3 linked regions of the Pelodiscus sinensis genome follow. The protein of the gene in region 2 interacts with the protein of the main gene of each other region in a biochemical or structural test. Links are inferred from orthologs where the notes say so. Each region holds a gene or a part of one and is shown on either strand. Other genes may lie near its edges.

The links.
Region 1: the proteins of GIPC1 (region 2) and RGS19 form a complex in vitro, tested with the Homo sapiens proteins (2 studies listed by BioGRID). The link is inferred for Pelodiscus sinensis from reciprocal best matches to the Homo sapiens genes GIPC1 and RGS19.
Region 3: the proteins of GIPC1 (region 2) and LRP2 form a complex in vitro, tested with the Homo sapiens proteins (2 studies listed by BioGRID). The link is inferred for Pelodiscus sinensis from reciprocal best matches to the Homo sapiens genes GIPC1 and LRP2.

Annotation. Positions count from the first base shown.
Region 1 is NC_134728.1:4,677,754-4,681,498, forward strand, and holds the start of RGS19 (regulator of G-protein signaling 19), read right to left. Parts: upstream 2,768-3,745; 5' UTR 2,657-2,767; coding exon 2,627-2,656; intron 2,204-2,626; coding exon 2,067-2,203; intron 1-2,066. UniProt on the Homo sapiens protein: Inhibits signal transduction by increasing the GTPase activity of G protein alpha subunits thereby driving them into their inactive GDP-bound form. Binds to G-alpha subfamily 1 members, with the order G(i)a3 > G(i)a1 > G(o)a >> G(z)a/G(i)a2.
Region 2 is NC_134729.1:10,604,727-10,608,471, forward strand, and holds the start of GIPC1 (PDZ domain-containing protein GIPC1), read right to left. Parts: upstream 2,195-3,745; 5' UTR 2,044-2,194; intron 1-2,043. UniProt on the Homo sapiens protein: May be involved in G protein-linked signaling.
Region 3 is NC_134717.1:39,567,896-39,571,640, forward strand, and holds the start of LRP2 (low-density lipoprotein receptor-related protein 2), read right to left. Parts: upstream 2,461-3,745; 5' UTR 2,323-2,460; coding exon 2,232-2,322; intron 1-2,231. UniProt on the Homo sapiens protein: Multiligand endocytic receptor. Acts together with CUBN to mediate endocytosis of high-density lipoproteins. Mediates receptor-mediated uptake of polybasic drugs such as aprotinin, aminoglycosides and polymyxin B.

The sequences.
Region 1 (3,745 bases), on a different chromosome or scaffold from region 2:
GTTTGTGTTGGCAAGAAGCAACACAGCTGGGAGAGACGATGGATCTGTGGACTCTCCCTTGTGTGGAAGGTGGCTTTGCTGGAGTACTTCCTTCTCCCCCACACCGCTGCCACAGCTGTGCAGAGGGCCCCCCCACACCTTCCCTGAGCACAGTCCAGGGATCATCAGACAGGGAGACCTGGAGGGAAGACAGTACCTGGGCACCTCATGCCTGTCTGTACAGGGAGGGGCTGGTACACTGGTTGTAAGTTTACTTAGCATCTTGCACCACCAAGACACTCCAAGACTGCAGCCGGACAGACTCTTCCCTGGAATTTGCCGTCAGCTCCACTGATCTCACAGCAGGGACAAGGTTGCTCCGATGAGCCAGGCAGAAAGTGGGCAGCACCAGGAGCTCAGCTACAGCCCAAAGGCAGCCAGGGCTGTGAGCTCAACGGGCTCTACGAATCCCACCCAGAGGCCCAGCAGAGATGGGCAGGGTACACGGTGAGGGGCGAGCTTGCCACAGGGGACAACCGTACAGCAAAGGGCACATTTGCACGCACCCACTTCCCATGCCAAACAGGGTGTGGCAGAGGGTACTTGTGGAACTCCCCTGTGCAGGAGGCTGGTCACAGCCGCTCCTCCCCAGTAGGAAGCCTAGTCCGAACTACCTAGTCCGTGTCGCGTGTAGCTGCGCGGCACAGAGTCCGCACTAGCGGTCATTTAAAAATGGCGGCACCCGGCGAGATGCAAATGAAGCCCGGGAAATTCAAATCCTGGGCTTCATTTGCAACTCCGGTTGCCTACATTACCCCGCTAGTTCGAACTAGGGTGGTAGTGTAGACATACCCATAGAGAGTGATGGGTCCTAACCAGCAAGGGTCATTTTTTCCCCCTTGACCATGCTAAACAACTTCCGTTGGGCATCCTAATGCTGAGCGGGTTGGGTACAGACACAGGAGTAACCAGACAAGCAGCCCCCGCACCTGCTGGACACAGAACTTCAGATCTGGGGATTTAGTGACCAGCACGAGAGAAGCACACACACCAGCTCACAAATCTGTTCTGACAGTAGACAGGCAGGGGCTCCCCCTCCCCTCTGGATCAGGAGGCGATTGTGGCTATTTTGGAGCCATTTGATTACGGGCATCAGAGCTAGGGGACCGAGACGCTTCGGACTTGCATGGGATTTCTGCGTCCCCCTGAACTGGCCACTAGATTTTTCCCCAGAAGCATCACTCATTGTGTGTCCATGCTGTGCAGTCCAGGAGCAGAGCCCAGTGGATTGCGGACAGAACGCGTTTCTAAAGAGGCAATTGAACAGGCCCTGCCTCAAGGATCGGCCCGTCGACAAGTGGCTTCACACACCGTCCGTTTCAGAAAACTCGGCCCATTTGCCAAGTTTCAAATCTCCAAACTCCTTGGGTGGAGGAGAGTGAAAACGCGCACGCACAGTGCACTCCACGAGGCTCTGAACAACCCGCAGCACAAACACTGGGCCATCTGCTCAAAATGGTGTTTACAGTCAGTTTTTAAACACTGCGCCAATTAGCCGTCGACTGTAAACCAAGCACACAGGCGGCCTGGACGCTCCAAACCTGGCGGGCGGGGGAGGTCCTTCCCACACACGCTCAACAAGCTCCGACTGGCGTTTTCGGCAGCCTAGATAAATGTAACATGCCGGCGGACGAGCCTGCAGGCATCTCCTCAGGAGGGTGAGCACGCCCAGCGCCGGAGCTTTCCAGAAACGGGCACGGCTCCGGGATGGCATGGGCCCGGGCCGCCCGGCACAGACACAGGCCACAAGGTGGGCCCTGCCCCCAAGATCTTTCAATCTCAGCAAAGGACAAAGGAGCTTGACCCAGGCTAGAGCCTTACGCTCCTCTGTTGCCGCTAAACTCCCTCCCCGTCCCAGCCCACGAGTGATGCACCAGGCTTCTGAGCACCAGGGAGCTGAGGGGGGAAGACTTTGGAGCACAACGCACCCGGGGATTCAACGGCAGCAGGGCGGCCCCTCTCCCCAACCCGGAGACACGGGAGGGAGGAGAGAGAGGGGCAGGGGTCTCTTTACGCGCCGGACGTACCACGAGCAGCTGCAGCAGCAGCACCAGCAAAAGCAGCAGGCATTGGGGCGGTGGTTGCCAGCGGGTTGCACCGTCGCCGGAGAGGTCTCATGCTGGGACATCGAAAGGGGTCTCTCCGTGGACTCAGGTCCCGTGTACTGGAAGGGAAGAGCATGGAGAGGGTAAAGGAGCCAGCAGGGCTGTGTGCTGCCCCTCCCCCCCAGCTCAATTCCCTCCCACATTCCCTTGAACCCAGATCCCCCCACGCACTGTGCACTGGTGGCCAGCCCCACGCGTGGCGGTTAGAGACACTACCAGGCAACAGCCTGGGCAGGAGGGGAACCATCTCGCCCTCTGCCTCCAAAGGGGTGGGGAGAGGCCATGGGCTGCTTCTGGCCCCAGAATTGCAGAGCACAGACAGGGGTCTGGCTGCGCAGAATACTGAGCTTCGGGCGGTTGCAGGGGCTTGGTGGCTCACTGGAATTTCTTTAAGGCTCTCCCCCGGCCGGCCAGCCTAGGGGTTGTCCTTTACCGCAGTCAGTTCATCTCCTGTCCCGCAAGGGGCCAGATCTCCAGCTCACCTGCTTCCCAGCTTCATACACAGTCGGCATGGGCAGCTTGTACGTTTCCGGCTGGCCCACCTCTGCTCGCCTGTCCTGCTTGGGGCCAGGGACCTGTTCTGTCGACACGCCCGCCTAGGGCCTTGGCAGCCTACTAGACGGAGCCTATGAGAACAGAGAAGCATTTCTTAAGTTAAGCCCGCCTGCCGGGCAAATCCGTCCTCCAAGGGGACACCCCAATGCTGCAGGCCGGGCCGGGAGGCCGGAATTCCTCCGGGCTAGAATGAGCTGCTGAGGTCGGTGCTCAAAAGGCAGCAGGGCCGTTCTCCAAGGGGACACCCCAATGCTGCAGGCTGGGCCGGGAGGCCGGAATTCCTCCGGGCTGGAACGAGCCCCTGAGGTCGGTGCTCAAAGGCAGCAGGGCCGTTCTCCAGCCAGGTGCCCCAGAGGGAGTGAACAAAACAGGCAATCATCAAGTGATCCCCCTCCTGTCAGCCATTTCCAGCCTCTGACAAACAGAGGTCAGGGACACCGTTCCTACCCCTCCTGGCTAATACCCATTGATGCACCTAACCTCCGTGAATCTATCTAGCTCTTTTTTGAACCCTGTTAAAGTCCAGGTCTTCACAACATCCTCTGGCAAGGAGTTCCACAGGTTGACTGTGCACTGCGTGAAGAAAGACTTCCTTTTCTTTGCTGTAAACTTGCGACCTATTCATTTCATTGTGTGACCCCTAGTTCTTACGTTAATGGGAACAAGTAAATAACTTTTCCTTAGTCACTTTCTCGACACCAATTATGATTTTATAGACCTCTAGCACATCCCCCCCCCTTAGTCTACTCTTTTCTAAGGTGAAAAAGCCCAGTGTTTTTAAACTCTCTTCATATGGCACCCGTTCCAACCCCCTAATCAGTTTTATTGCCTTTTACTGAACCTTTTCCAATGCCAAGATATCTCTTTTGAGATGAGGCAACCACATCTGTGCACTTCTGCCTGTATAAACTACCGTGGCTCTGCCAAATAAACTGCTAAGGCCCATGGGTAAAAATCCAGGAGGAACATGGATCTGATTAATAGAGGCACAGCCTGTCCAAGGCTGCCCAAACCTGGGGAGGTTCTAACCTCTCCTCATCCAGAGG
Region 2 (3,745 bases):
TCCTGAGCCCTGCTGGCTCCTCGCAAGCACTGACTCCTAGCTGTTCCCCATGCCCCACACTGCTGCCTCTGAGGGGGGCAGCTCTGAGGGAGCCACCTCCCCCCTCATATGTAAACATGAAAAATTCAGTGGTAACAAATGTTTACAAAGATAAATGCATTTTAACATCCCTATTAGCCAGTTGGTCCCCAGCCTGTAACAGTGCTTGGGATTCTTCCTTCCGAAGTACAGAACTCTGCACTTGTCCTTGATGAACCTCATTAGATTTTTTGGCCCAATCCTCCAATTTGTCTAGATCACTCTGGACCCCATTCCTACCCTCCAATGTATCTACCTCTCCCCCTAGCTTACGGCAATCCATCCCCTTATCCAGGTCATTAATAAAAAAGTTGAACAAAATCAACCCAAGGACTTTGGGCACTTTGCTTCATACCAACCACCAAACAGATATTGGGCTCAACGGGTAGTAATCAACAGCTCGACAATCTAGCCAGCTTTCTATCCACCTTACAGTCCATTTATCCAAGCCATACTTCTTTAACTTGCGGGCAAGAATACCGTGGAAGACTGGATCAAAAGTTTTGCTAAAGTTAAGGCATATCACGTCCACCACCTTCTCCATACCTACAGAGCCAGTTACTTGGACACAGAAGGCAGTCAAGTTTGTCAAGTATGACTTGCCCTTGGTGAATTCATGTTAAACTTAAGTTAAAACCTTTTTGATCTTTCATATAGGCAGAAAAACCCCAAACCAAACCCAAGCCAACTTACAGGATGCTGCCCCTTCTTCTGCATATGCATTTGGAGATTCCATGCTGCCCATTTCTATTTTAGGACTTTTGAGTGGCAAAACTTAAAGTGCTTCCAATATACATCAACTAATCTTTGTTTACCCCCATGAGGCAGGTGGGTCTTACTTTCCAGATAGCTAAGTGGAGTACAAAGTAGGGATGCTAATTTTGATTAATCAGCTAATCAAGTAGCTGATAAGGGGAGAGTGTAGTGCTTGCTATCCCCGTTGCACCTCTGCCTTTTAATGGTAGACAGAGCTGCTCCAAGGCTCTTACTACATTTAAAAGGCAGAGGCACAGCAGTCGGGACCTGGTGCGAGTGGAGACTGCTTCAGTACCCCACTCGTGCTGTTTGCCCTGCTGCACCTCTGCCTCCCCTGCCCCCTGCGGAGCTAGTGCTCGGGGGAGGGGGGAAAATCGGCTTTTAAACTAGCTCCCCCCAGCACTGTCTCATGCTCCCCCTCCCTTTGCTGCTTCTGATACAGAGGCAGCAAGAGGAGGGGGAAGTGACTAGTGAGTCAACTATCCAGTAAGCCTAGGCTAATTGGGTAGTCGACTAGTCGCTTATGTCCCTAGTATAAACAAGACTTCTTGGTCACAGAGGGAATTAATAATGGCACTGGGAATGTAACCTGCTTTAACTGTAAGGCGGTACTTGGACACAGGGGCAGCACCTCAATCATGCCGTTTATCCTACACAAGCTTGCAGATGCATTTGCATAAAGGAGGGAGCTTTCTAGGGTGATTACAGGAGGGACCTGAGATCCAGGATTTCGTGGGTACAATTCCCAGTTCCCCCACTTTATAGCCTTCAGTTAATCCCTCAGGTACCATGAGCCTCCACTCCTCAAGGCCCTCTGAGGCACAACCCGCACAGGCCATCCTTCTGTGCCAATGCACCATACACACCCCGTCAAGGGCACATCAATCACATCCTGCGCAGAGCCTGACCCCCCCTCCACACACTCCAGCTGGAATCCCATCCCTGCCACAGCATCCTCTTCTGGGGGGCTCCTGCCCAACTTAGGGGTGAACAACCCCTCCCCCCCAGCCAGCTGTCCCCCCCCGGAACTGATCCCCCCTTCTGACCCTCTGCTCCCCTCCCCGCAGCCGAGGGCACCTCCCCCCACGCCCATCCCCCCTCTGCTCCTATCCCCCCCCAGAACAGTCCCCCTCCCCCCCACTGCCAGGCTCCCACGAGCTGCTCCCACCCCCCCTCGGATCCGCCCTTGGGCACCTCCCGCCGACTCACCCCGTCCGCCTCCCCGCAGGGCTAGTTCCGCCAAACTCCGGCCGGGCACAGCTGGGGCCTGTCGCTCGGGGACGGGAGGGAGGGCTCCGGGCGGGAGAGGCTCCGCGCCCGCCATCCAATCACAGCACACCTCGCGCACCCTTTGGCCAATCCAAGCTGGGCAGGGCGGTGAACTGGGCGGTCACATTCTGGATCCATCCCCTCCATTTCCTCTCCCCCTTCGGGGCGCAATGGAAGCGTCCAATCTAAGAGAGTGTACGAATATGGGGGAGGAGCAGGCAGATACCATCCCAGGAGAGCGCGGAGCCCGAAAAGGAGCGAGAGTGGGAGCTACCATTCAGAGGTGGAGTTGCAAGATACTATTGAAGAAGGAGGGGGGACCCCCAGGAATTGTCATTGTTGACGTTGGCTACAGGAAACACCTACCAACCAATTCTGCCTCGGCAGCTTTTCCTGGCCAATCACAAGCAAGAACATAGAAAATAGCCAATCAGAAACTGGTAGGTGGAAGAGTTGGTAGAGTACCTAGACCAGGTGCATTACCCATCCTCCCCCTCCCCCTGCCTAAAACAGGGCTGTAGAGGAAAGGCTACAAATGATGCAGACCCAGCGGCCTGGTACGCGGATCAATACCTTCTCGTTGGTTCCTTATTGAGAGACGAGGTGAATGAACGAATATTGTTATTGGCTCAACTTCCGTTTTTAAAAGCAATGAAGGGAGGCATGCATTTGACATTCTCTCAAATCGGTATCCAGTACCAATTCCAGCTGACGTGAGAAACAGATGGGACAGTTATTCAAGGTTGAGACGTTTAGTATTGCATTTCTGAGCTTCCCGTGAGTACTTGTAACTAACAGGTGCTTTTTAAGGTGAACCTTTAATGATGTTTAGCTTTTAGCAGATTCTCTGCTTGAGTGGGTAATGGTTAATTGGTACCCGGGAGCAGCCTCCTCAAGCGGAGGGCTGCTTCAGACCTGCCGGCTCCGCCTACAGCCGCTGAAAGCTAGCAGCCCCATGCAGGACCAGGAGCTGTAGCTTTGCTTAGGCTGGGAGCCAGCAACTCCTGCCTGTGGCACTCCAGCCCAACCATGGTGGGGAGGGGCCCCCTTTAACTGATTAAACAGGATAATACATCCCTAGTTCCAACATTACTTTCCATCCCCGTTTCTTCATCTTAGCTTTACTTCACACCTACACCTCTTCTCTGCTGCCCCCACTCTTGCTTCCTTTCCCATTCAGCTGACCTGCTCCTGGCTAAACCCATCCAAAAGAAAAACTGTTAATGGAACTGGTATTTGCTGGTCTCACATAGTTCACTTTGCTTATTGTATTTCTTCCTCCATCCACTCTGATTTTGTTTTATTTAGAGCAGAAACTCTGCAGGATATCTACTGTTTGCACAGAGCCTAACCTAGTGGGACCCTATCTCAATTGGCCTTTATGCAGCAAGCAAATTGTATCATCCGCTGGCTGAGCTAGGAAGTTGCTGGGGGCCTGAAGACCACATCACAGCCACTAATTATAATACAGGTGCAATCCACTGCAATACCCTTTATGATACTGAGTGCATCGTGTGCTGGTTCAGGTAGTTTCATGGGTATGCAGGCCTGGTAGCTGCATGTGCGCCTTAACAGAATTTTCAAGGGTCAGAATGATCATGAAATGCTTTGGGTGAGCTAGACAGCAGCAAATTACATCTGC
Region 3 (3,745 bases), on a different chromosome or scaffold from region 2:
TAACAAACATTACGGAGTAAGATTTGTCGAGAGAGAAGGCACAACACAAGTTACAATAGGCATAGGTACTCAGATCATACTGAGTCTTCTTAGGCTTCTGAGACCATCCAGTTTCCATTCAGTACTCCCAAATTCAAATTGCCAGTATTCAAAAATCATGAGTCATGATTCAAATCTTGAAATACTTTTTAAACAATTAATAATGGAGGTGTTTGTTGAGTAGGAACTTCTGATTTTTGACCCAATAGTGTATGTTTGGGTCATATTTTCAAATTTCTCTCAGCATCCATAAGATCTACAATCAGGGCCAGATTAAGGGGCAGCTGTCCAGGGCGCCATCCTATGGGGGGCGGCTGATTGAAGTGGTAAGGGGCACCAAGTGCCCAGGGGTGAGGCCGCCCATGTGCTGTGCGCCCGAGGCTGGGCTGCACATGCGCCGCGCGCCTGCTGCCTGGGGTGCAACTATGGCTCAGTCTGGCACTGTCTACGATCACTTAATTTTTTTTTAAGTGACAGCGGAAATCCTCACATAATCACAGGATTCCAAGAACTAGAGTTTTAAGAAAAACACCAAATATCATGCGACTTGGGTTAAGAATCCCAAGAGTTCACAATGCTATTTTGTTCACAGGTTTAAACACAGGTATTAGTCCAAAGACTCCATGGCTAACATTAGATCATTTTATTAGCATAATTATGCTGATAATTCTTACATCCAGTACAGAAAAATTAATGCCTGCCCTGCTTTTGGGTGCCAATTCATAATTTCCCCCTAACTTTGCCAAATAACTGATGATTTCACAGTCACATCTATGGTACATGTGTCCTAAATTTTCTAGGTGCAACTGCAGAACAAGACAATAAGCATTTAAGTCATGACTGTATCTTCAGCTGTATGAGTGTAAATAAGAGTGCAAAGGAATTAGCTCTCTACCCAGTGTGACCTCTTTGGCTGGAGCTTTTGCAATGCTCCTGTTGTACATTAGCTATCTCCTAACTACTTCCCTGCTCAGCAAAGGGAGCTGTTAGCAGCAGTTGCTGTATAATTACTTACTTCATTCCTTCTAAGAAGCTTACCCTAAGAGTTGAGCAAAGAAAGCAGATTAACAATTTGAATACATCCATCTAAGGCACACACATAAAACAGTGGGGCCACCCGGCCAATAGACGTGGCCCAGGAAATTCACTCCATCTCCTCCCGCTGGAACAATAAGGGGTTTGGTTTTCATTGCGGGGCAATTACCGTGTGTGGGAGCGGGCAGGGGAGAGGCAGGAAGAGCCGGGCTGCAGTTGCGGGGGGGGGGGGGGGGGAGCCAGTGGAGATAGGACTCCTCCATCCCCAGCCGCCAGATTAGTACCAGAGTAGGCGGCGGCGCAGCCTATCGCGCGCTCTCAGCCTGCTCTGCCAGTCACATGCTCTCCACTGTAACCTAGCAACAGCAAAGCCCAGAGAAAAAGTTCTCTCTCTCTCTCTCTCCCAACTTCAATCTGTGCCCGAGACGGAGGGCGGCTCATTGTGCTCCACACTAAGCATCGGTTGCTTTAGCTCAGGTCCCGCATGTTGCACAGGCCCGGGACGCGGCCACGCTACACATGCCCGAGCCGTGCAAATCACACCAGCCGAGCCCGCGGCGAGCTCATGGAGCGCACCAAGGTGCAGCTTCACCCGGGGGCTGGCTGCAAACCCTGAGCTTGGAAACGGGGGTGGGGGTGGGGGTGGGGGCAGCTCAGCCTGCTCACGTTGGGCTGCAAAACCACGCGCGCTGGAGGGGCCCGGCTGCACCGCCAGACGCAGCTCTTGAGAGCGGCTCTCCGGGACCAAGGGGCAGGTTTCAGCAGCAAGCAAGCGCCAGGGCGCAGCGGTGTTCTTGCCCTCCTTGTGCCCGGCCCCATTGCATCTCCTCCATAAAATGAGAGCCCCCCCCCTTCCCGGGGCTTTGCACCCCTGAACGTCTCACAGCTCAGCGGCTGCTCCCCGCGGGACTCGCGGCCCTTCGGCGAGCGAAGAGCCACGGCGAGGGAAGCAAAGGCCGAAAGCAGCCCGCGGAGGAGCTGTCACAGAAACCGCTGGGCTCGCTTCTTGCAGCGCCCCGCTCTACTTGCCACTAGCGAGCTTCGGGGAAGGCGCCGCCTGCGGCTCTAGCCCCGGGGAAGCCAAGGCAGGCAGCTCCCTCGTGCCCCTTTCCAGAGCCCCGAGTGCCCCCCGGACCAGGCTGCAATAGGGGGCTTACCCTGGCCACTAGCCTGCATGATGCACGCAGTGAGTAAGATGAGCACTTTGCAAGAGGCCGCTGCTCCGTCCATCCCGCGACGAGAGCCCATCGGGGCGGGGATGCTGCAGCTCCCTCGGGAGCTGGCTGCTGGGCTCAGAAGTCTGCTCGGCCCCGCACCAGCCCAGCCGCCTGGTGTCTTTCTCTTATCCGGCTAGTTGCAGAGGAAAGGCGTGTTCGCCAGCTGAGACATCGCGTTTCCTATAAACTCCCACCCTCCAGACATTGCATAAAGCTCTTTATACCCAGCGGCCCCGGAACTAGCATGAGGGAATCAGGCACCGCTCCAGGCCCTACAGCCGGCTGCCTCTGCCCCTCCTTCCGCGCGCACTGTGCAGGGTAGGAGGGATGCTTTCACACCACTGCACTCCAATGACTTCTCACATCGCCCTGGCGCTGCCTTGTAACGCGCTTTGGCCAGATCCGGGGTGAGTTCGAATAGCAAACAGGACCCCGCGTTTGACGCCCGAGTCCCAACCGACAAACACTGTAGCCAAAGAAAAGGAGTTTGGCGAAGGAGCCCTGGAAAGGCTTGACACCAAGACGTGACATTCAGACATTGGGGTAAAGTTGAAAACGCTGATTTGTGCCTATCAGTCCCTAGGGAGACGCACTCACTCGCCTCTAAAACGGGGTTGAAGCCTTGACAAGCCCAGAATGAATCTTGTTTCTCCACCCGAGCCTGTCCTGGGTTTCCCGGGAGAGAAAAACCACTTGCAGAGAGCGTTGCGGCCGCGGGGGAAAGTATTGCTAAGGGCAGCCTGAATATCTGCTCATTTGTCAACAGTATTGTGACGGGCCTGGCTTTGCCAAGGGGGCCTTTGTGTCACAGATACACAATAAATCACCGGTGAAATACCCAGCCACGGTTCAGCTATTGCTGCCATTTCAGGAATTAGATATAAGACTATAGTAGAAAACTAGATTATTCGCGAGGGGGGAAACGGGGCGTGTTTGCATTTTTCAGAGATTACTCCCTATGGAATCGGCTTAAGTATTTCGGGGACTCATCAGAAGATGGTGGTGTGAAGGCAGTACGGGGAGTCTCTCACAGAATTGTTAAACTAACGGAATTTATAATTCTGTTAAACTGCTGAGAAAGTTAATCGTGTAACTGAACATGCCTTAGTGTAGTGAGGTCTTTAGTTAGACAGTTATTTTAAAGAAATTTATCACGATAAAACTTTGTTAGGTGATGAACTTCACTTAACTCCCCCTCTCAAGTTCTCCTCCTGTATGAAATACAACATACTCGAGCATTTCAGGAACAACTGATTGCTGTGTAAATCGTGGGATCAGAGGGGGGAGAGATTAGTTTATCTGACAACATGATTTGTCCTCTTCATTGCAATTGCCCCGCCTCTACACACTCCTTATATTAGTTGCATAAAGTTTACCATTTACTGTATAAAGTTTATATTAAACTGCAGGGGTTGTTTGCAGAGTTGAACAAGCAGTTCTGTAACATTACTTAA